Sus scrofa: one gene and its partner. The protein of the gene in region 2 purifies or fractionates together with the protein of the main gene of each other region. This does not show direct contact. Links are inferred from orthologs where the notes say so. Each region holds a gene or a part of one and is shown on either strand. Other genes may lie near its edges.

Evidence for each region.
Region 1: the proteins of STK24 (region 2) and CTTNBP2 purify together in Homo sapiens (affinity purification with mass spectrometry; 3 studies listed by BioGRID and IntAct, with this or other methods). This does not show direct contact. The link is inferred for Sus scrofa from reciprocal best matches to the Homo sapiens genes STK24 and CTTNBP2.

The regions. Positions count from the first base shown.
Region 1 is NC_010460.4:28,567,056-28,570,587, forward strand, and holds part of CTTNBP2 (cortactin-binding protein 2), read left to right. Parts: intron 1-474; coding exon 475-576; intron 577-3,532. UniProt on the Homo sapiens protein: Regulates the dendritic spine distribution of CTTN/cortactin in hippocampal neurons, and thus controls dendritic spinogenesis and dendritic spine maintenance.
Region 2 is NC_010453.5:67,562,771-67,567,063, reverse strand, and holds the start of STK24 (serine/threonine-protein kinase 24), read left to right. Parts: upstream 1-1,421; 5' UTR 1,422-1,833; coding exon 1,834-1,875; intron 1,876-4,293. UniProt on the Homo sapiens protein: Serine/threonine-protein kinase that acts on both serine and threonine residues and promotes apoptosis in response to stress stimuli and caspase activation.

The DNA of each region.
Region 1 (3,532 bases), on a different chromosome or scaffold from region 2:
GGATAAATGCCTTTTTCTTCCAAGAGAACATAAGGAGGTAGTTATAACTTGGGTACTTTCCAACCAGAGACTCACCTGTTGTATTTGGACAATCAAACTCTCTGGACAAAGTAGAATTGAGTAGCTTATTTAGCCTTGCTGGAAATGAGTCGAAATACTTAACCACTGGAAAAATAAGGTAACAGTGAAAATCTTGCAAATTTTATATCCTTTTATTTTTTGCCAAGTGATTTTTTTTTAATAGGTTATCATCTTCTGACTTTTTAAAAGACTTTTAAAAAGACTGTTTTTCGTGCATTCGCTAATAGTTTTACATCAAGGCTTAAAGTCACAGGACCTGGGGGTCTGTTGTATAGAGCTTCTGACAGTAAGAGAGGCTCACACTTCTGATGTGAGTTTGCCACAGTGACTTTAAGTCTTGCCTTGAGTGTGTCACAGTGCAACTGAAATCATGGTCAATTTTCTGTTCTCCAGATTGCTGATTCCAGGGATGATTTAAGGAGGTTTGATAGTTCGGGAAATAATCCTGCATTTTCAGCAACTGTTAATAATCCAAGAATGCCAGTGTCACAAGAGGTAAGTGCCCCTTCTCCCTCCAAAATGGGACAAAGGATTGTTGTGGAATTGACTTCACAAATCTCTCAATATGCCATCACGAAGTTACTTTAAAAACCCTCACTGGGAAATGAACAGGATTAGGGTAGAAGCATTCATGAGGAAATCAAGTTTAGAAACTTTGCTCTTTGGATAACAGCTTGAAATAATCACATAGAAAAGCATTACTTGGTTTTCCTTATATTTAAATGCTGAAAAAATTTTGATTCCAAAATTGGGGGTGTTTCTTTTCCATTTGTTTTCATTAGTTTATGCCAAAACTGAAACTAATGGAACTTCTGTCCTCTTCTATTTTAAAATGAAACATTGACTTTCATTCGAGAACCATTTTGGAAAACCGAAGTTTAAAAATCTCACTTCTAGTTTTACTTTAACTTGCCATATCATGCATTGCGTTTCAGTGAGAGATTTTCCTTTAAAAACAAAGCAGAATGGAGTTCCCATAATGGCACAGTGGTTAACAAATCCGACTGGGAGTCAGGAGGTTGCAGGTTCGATCCCTGCCTCGCTCAGTGGGTTGAGGATCCGGTGTTGCCATGAGCTGTGTGGTGTAGGCCACAGACACAGCTCCGATCCTGTGTTGCTGTGGCTCTGATGTAGGCCAGTGGCTGCAGCTCCGATTAGACCCCTAGCCTGGGAACCTCCATATGCCACCAGAGCAGCCCTGGAAAAGGCAAAAAGACAAAAAAATAAAATAAATAAATGAAAATAAAGCAGAATGTCAAAGAGTCAAGATTCTAATCAAGTTGATTAACCTCTTGAAATTAACTTACAGGATTGATTAAATAAATTCCAAGAGAGGGGTGGCCCAGCGTGGTACTTCTGGGTGAACAGAAACAATAAAACTACCTCTTACCCAGTAGTGATTTTGTGAGGATACACATTTTTATTGTTGTTGTTTTTCTTTTTTAGGGCCACACCCGCAGCATATGAGTTTCAAGGCTAGGGGTCAAATTGGAGCTACAGCTGCCAGCCTACACCCCAGCCACAGCAACTCAGGATCTGAGCCGTATCTGTGACCTACACCGCAGCTCATAGCAACCCGGGATTCTTAACCCACTGCACGAGGCCAGAGGTGGGAATGCAGATCCTCATGGATACTAGTGGATTTGTTTCTGCTGAGCCACCCCAGGAACTCCCAGGATGCACATTTTCTAAGAGGCATGTGGTAACTTGTGCTTTGCTCACCAAGCCTTGTCGATGGTAGTTCACATCCTGCTCTCATCCACTCCCCGGCAGCTGACACAGACCTGATGGGGGGTGGGGAGGAGTGCAGAGGGCAGTATTATAAAGTGAGCGTGCTGAGACTTTAAATTGTCCATCTTTGTCGGATCACCAGCCGGCCCTGGTCCCCGCCGCCTCTGCTTCCTTAGTTTCGGTCCTGATTATTTACATGTGGAGCTATGTGTGTTGGGAGGAATTGTGGCAGGGCCGTGGTCTCGAATAAAAAATACATAACCTGAGGATCTGTGAAGAAGAGCATGACCCCTCTCGGGCTCATTCTGTATTACGTCTGCTTACCCCACCCCTGGGGAACCGTTTAGAAGCACAGCGAAAGCATAATTTGGAGAGTGTGGAGCGTGACTAAGGAGGGGATCTGGGGTCCGTACTGTGAATTCCAGCCAGAAAGTATTTTTTCCGGAGCTGCCTCTGAGCTGTAATTCACAACACATTTCTTGGGGCTCCAGGATCCCTCGTGAGGATTCTTTGTGGAATAGTCCTTGGGAAGGGGCACAATGAGCCACTCTCTGTCCACAGGGCCCCGTCACTTTCCTATATAAAAATATTGACTCAGTGAGTGGCTGCTGTTGTGTAATGTCTAATGGAGACAGTTTTGTACCTTTCTCTGCCACATGGCCATATTGGGTTGTGACAATAAGGTACTGTCCATGAAAAATAGTACTGAAAGTAGGATAAGCCTGGAACAACTTTGTTTTAAAAAGGGGCCTTTCACACTTCTGGGCTCTTAAAAAAGAACCATGGAGTGGTTTGATGTGGGTATTACAATAAGGGGCTGCCTGTTCTTTGCCCCCTCAACACATTCCGAGGACTAGCCTTTGGTGAATACATGTTTTTCTCAGAACCTGCCAGCAGAGGGCGAAATAATACTCTTGGCATTCGGGAGCCTTCTGGAAACTTCACAAGCTCCTGTCTTTTCTATCCTTCTGATAAACTCAGTGAGCCTTTCTTGGTTAGATGCCCAGTTTCTTCTGTTATCAGGAAGTAATTCCCTTTAGAAGTCAGGGTTTTCTGTGTTAACTGAAATCACTTTCTCCTGAGTGGCCAGCAAGGGGTCTATTAAGTAAAATGTTAGCCAGCCTTCTACATTAAAAAAAAAAGTATACATAAATACATAGTATCTATATTAATAAATGTTTTCTTCTTATGAAAATGCAGATTGAACCCCCTAAAGCAAATGCAGATGGAACCCCCTAAAGCAGAAGTTCTTATCTTTGGTTGCATAATGAATCCTCCTTTTTTTTCCCCCTTATCCTCAGTGGCTGGACCACATGAGGTCCTAATGTAATTGGTCTGAGGTGCAGCCTTGACCCTGGGGTTTTTAAAAGCTTCCTGCTGATTGTTACATGCAGCCCGAGCTTAGAGCCCTGTCTCTAACACCTACCTCTGAGCTGTCTTTACCCTTCCTCTTTCGCATGGAATTCTTTCCTCTTCACCTGTAACAGGTCCAAGTCCTTAAAGAACCATTGCCATAGCCTCTTCCCTTCCCTGTTTTCTTTTCCTTCTCCCTGCTGCCCATTTAGAGAGCTGAGATTATAGTATCCTCTTCTCTTCCCCCGAATGCTCAATATTGAGTTAATAGCTCTGATGTGACAATATTTCTTTGATGCTAAATGACTAAATCTTCTTTTAGGGGTGATGTCTTTCTGTGCCAACCAGAGATGTTTTTTGAGCTTTA
Region 2 (4,293 bases):
CCTGTTTTGCCATCCACCCCTTTATGTGCCCATTTTTTAGATGCACTAAATTTACACATGCTGGCACGCTCCCAAGTATCAGGGTTCATGCTTTTCTTAACTTTCTATTTGTTACATTCTCTTCACAGTACTTGGGGGTGACACGGCTTCACCACCAAGTGACAAGGTCTCTGAAAGTCCTCTGGACCAATTGGGGGGGGCGGCGCCGGGGGGGGGGGGGAGAATACAGATTTCCAAAGGGAAGGCAAAGATTACATTTTAGCACCTCACTCCTAGTCTGATCCAGAGCTCTGAATACAGTGACACTTCAGAGAATAAACAATCCTTTTTTCAGGGGGAGGACTTTTTAGTTTTTTCCAATAGTCTGTGAACTCGTGGGGGCTCATTTTTGTTTGTCCAACCTCGCCCGCGGTGCCACGTGGGCATTCACCGGTCCTCACAACCGGGGATACGGCACATCACTGCAGTGGCTGCCACTGTTTGTCGTTGTAAATAAAATACTACTTTCTGGAGGCAGCACTGATTCATTCCTTCTTATTTCTTTCCTCTGTAGTTGGAGGAGAGGTGTCTAAAAGGTGGAGGCAGCGGAAAGAGCGGGAGAAGGCCAGGGGAAAGTCTAGACAGGGTTTCCTTTCATTGTGTCCCTTCCTCCTCCCCCTCCCTCCCCCACTTTCCCCTTCTCGGGGGCAGACGATCCCCTATTGTAATTTACATATTCTTAAATTTGCATATTCTCCGGGGCCCAGAGAGGGTGGGGTTCAGCCCCCCACTCCTCAGCTAAGTTTACAGCTCCTAGTATTCCAAGCAGGGTGTTTTCAAGTCGCCAAAACGCGGAATTAACTACTCTCGGCCTCTCCCCTCCCGCTTTCCTCCTTGGGTTGGTTGGAAACTTCACCCAGACACCAAGAAGCTCCGCCCTGGTAGTTTTGAACCGGCCACTGGCTGAGGCCCCGCTGGGCACGCTCCCTCTCGAGGTCCCCCTGGCCCCGACTCTGCCCCCGGAGAGGTCGCCGGGAGCCCGCTTCCCCGGGGCCAGGCGGGGAGGGGTGGGCTCGCGCGGAGGGCAGGAGGGAGATGGTCTGGCAAGAGTTGGCACTCAGCGAGCCCTGGCCGCCCAGTCCCCCGGGGCGCCCGACTGGCCGGGGCCTGGGGGCGGTCGCCCCGGGACCGCCTTCGATTGTGTCCCCCTCCCCACTCCCGCCCGCGCGCCCTCTTCCCAGCTCCGCCCCGCCGGCTGGGAGGGGGGCGCAGCCCGCGGGAGACGCGCGGACCCCCACCCGCCCGGGCCGGCGGCAGCGCAGGCGGCTGCGGCCTAGGGCGCCCGGCGGCCGCCAGCCTCCTCCTCCCCCTCCCGGAAGCGCGGGGCGGGGTCCCCGGCCGGGCCGCGGGGGCGGGCGCGGGGGCCGGGCCGGGGCGGGGCGCGCTCGGCGCTCGCAGGCTCGGCCGGCTGTGCGCGCCCACTCCGGCTCCAGGCGGCCAGCGCACGGGCCCAGGCCGCCGGCTCCCAGCCGAGAGGCAGCAGCAGCCGCCGAAGCGGCAGCGGCGGCGGCAGGAGCGGAAGCAGCTCGCGGCGAGGCCCCGCGCCCCTGGCAGCCCCTCCCCGGCGCGGTGCATGGAGACGCGGCCCGCCGCCGGCCCCTGAGCCCGCCGCGCGGCCCGGGACCCGCGGGGGCTGGGGTGGCCTCGGGCTCCGGCCGGCCCACCGAAGCCGGACTCGGGCTTGGCCGGCCGCCCCCGCCGCCCGAGGGCTGCGCGCGGCCCGCGGGCCTCGTCGCCCGCGCGGATCGCCGCGGCCCGGCCGTCCCGTCCCAGGAAGTGGCTGTCCTGACCGCCATGGCTCACTCCCCGGTGCAGTCGGGCCTGCCCGGCATGCAGGTAGGCAGGAACCCGGCTGCCGAGGGCAGCGAGGGATGCCCGGGCCGGGGCGGAAGCGGGGAACTTGGCGGTGTAAACACGGCCCCCTCCCCCTCCGCTGCCCCTTCCGGGGTCGCGCCGGCCTCCCGCGCCGCGCTCGCAGCCCCCGGGGCGCCCCGAGCGGCCCCGCGGCCTGGGTCTCGGGGGCGGAAGGGTGCAGGGAGCTGGGGCCGCGGCCTGGAGGCGGCCCCGGCGGGCAGGGGGTCGAGGGGGCCGTGGGGGTGCCGGCGCTTCGCCCTGCCCGCGTCCTCTGCCCCCGGCGCCTCCCGAGCCGCAGGCCCCGCGCCGGCCCATCCCCGGGGAGAAGTGATGTGGGGAAATGCCCTTGGAGGCCCGGCTCGCTCTCTGGGCCCCGGCGCGGGCGGCGGGCGCTGGAGGCCCCGGGCCGCCCCGGCGAGGGGGCAGTAAAGTTGAGAGGCGGGAGGGGAGCCCCGGGCGCGCCCCGACTGGTCCGGGGCCCGCGGGGCGGCGGAGGCAGGGCGGGGTGGAGGAAGGTGTAACTGCCAGCTCCACTTCCAGCGCGTTTGTTCGGCGCGTTTCCTCCTGGTGCCGACGGAGGGGAAAGTGCGAGCCCGTAAACCTTCCGGAAGAAGGGATCCTTCGAACCCCGTGCCCTCGAGGGTGGATCCCGGCACGCTGGGCTTTGCCTTGGATGCAGCCCAGTCCCTTCCCAGTAAACCTCTCCGATGCTACTTGGTGGCTCCTTGGCCTTCCAGTGACTTTTTTTGGAGTGGGGGCAGGGGTGCGGGGGGTGGGGGCGGGGAGAGAAGTTGCATTTCCAATTTACAGGACTGCGTGCAAGTTTTTCGCCATGGGGGACTGTTTAAAAACTCTTTGAAAAATAAAACCCCCGTCCTTGGCCAGTTTGTAATGTTTGTAAGGGCATATAAATGGTGGGAGAATGGTTGGGATTAAAATCTCACTATACGGTTAGGGTATGTGGGTAAAGTTTTGCATTCCCGGTTTAGCCAAGCGAGTTGGGACACACCAGCTTTAAGGAAACAGCCACAAGTCTCCCAGCGGATTATTTATCTTGAGACTTTCTACGGGCTCGTTTTCCTCTCTCCCCCTCACTCTTGAGGCCTGAGAAGTTAGTACCTGGACTCCATAGGACCTGGGAATCTGCCCCCCTTTTGGCGAGAGATCATTGCTCTTTCTCTCTCTTAAACCAGAAAAAGAAAACTCGATTTCATTGTTCGCGATTGCTGGCTAGAAAAATAAGGGCACAAAGTTACCAGCATTTTAGAGTTTTGTTTTTTTTTTTTTTAAATGGAGTAACAGTTTACGTTAATAACCTGACTGTGCTTGAGGAAAACTGTCCTTGACTCTGATTTAAAGAATTTTTCAATGCAACGTGCATTTACCACCTAAGCTTCTACTGACTGCTAGGTAAAAATCGGATGTGGTTTCTTGGTATTTCCTAAAATTCCTGCTTTTGTTGGTTTGAATTTAGAGGCAGGAAGGCAAACTGAACTGGGTGAAAAATTATTTCTGACCAGCAGAGCAAGAAGGACCTCTTGTAACATTAAAAAAAAAAAAAAAAAAAAAGCATTTGCTCAATGCTTTCTTTAGACTGACTCTTAGGCTGTTAATCAGGTTGTAATCTAGCTCGCACGCCTCACTCAAAGTACCTGGGGGGTGTTCGGCTTTTGTGGAAAGCGAACCAGTTTAAAAAGGAACTTAAGGCCCAGCTGGCTGGTGCCCTGAAGCCAGCATCAGATGGTCACCAGGTGGTCTGTGGTCTTAAACACTTTTTTGGTCCTCATCTTGTTTTCAAAGCATGGGCCCACATTCTTAAATCTGGGGGAAAAAAAGGAGGTACCTTGCTTTAAATAACTCTGTCTCCCAAATGTTATTTCCTAGGTAGCGTTACCAGGGAACTGTTTTTATTTTGCTTTCTCAGAAAAGCTGTTAAGTTTTTATGTGGATGAAAGAACCAGATTTTCGGCTGTTAGAGTTTTAGGGGCGCGAAGGTGGCGTCTGACCGAGTTCGCCCTGTGTTTAGAAGTGTCTGCACACACTGTAAGGTGATGGGTTTTGGTGCCCTTGGGGGAGGAACATTCCTTTCCTCTCCCTCCCTTAAACTTCAAAAGGAAAACAACAGGCACATTGAGTTTCTACTTTGAACCAGCGGCTGCTCCTGCCCAGGGAGGCCGTCCTGAGAGGTGTCGCGGAGGGTTTAAGGAAATGCGCACCTGCCTGGGCTGGCCCTCTAGGCTGAAACTGGAGGAAAGAAGGACCCTGTGCCCTGTCCTGGTCCATCCTGTCTTCCTCCTCTTTTCTTCTCGTCTCCTCCTGACCAGGGTTTATAGATTGTTGGCTTAAAAAACTGCAGAAAGACAGCAGAGTGAGTTCGGGCAGCCTAGAAAGAAACCTGAA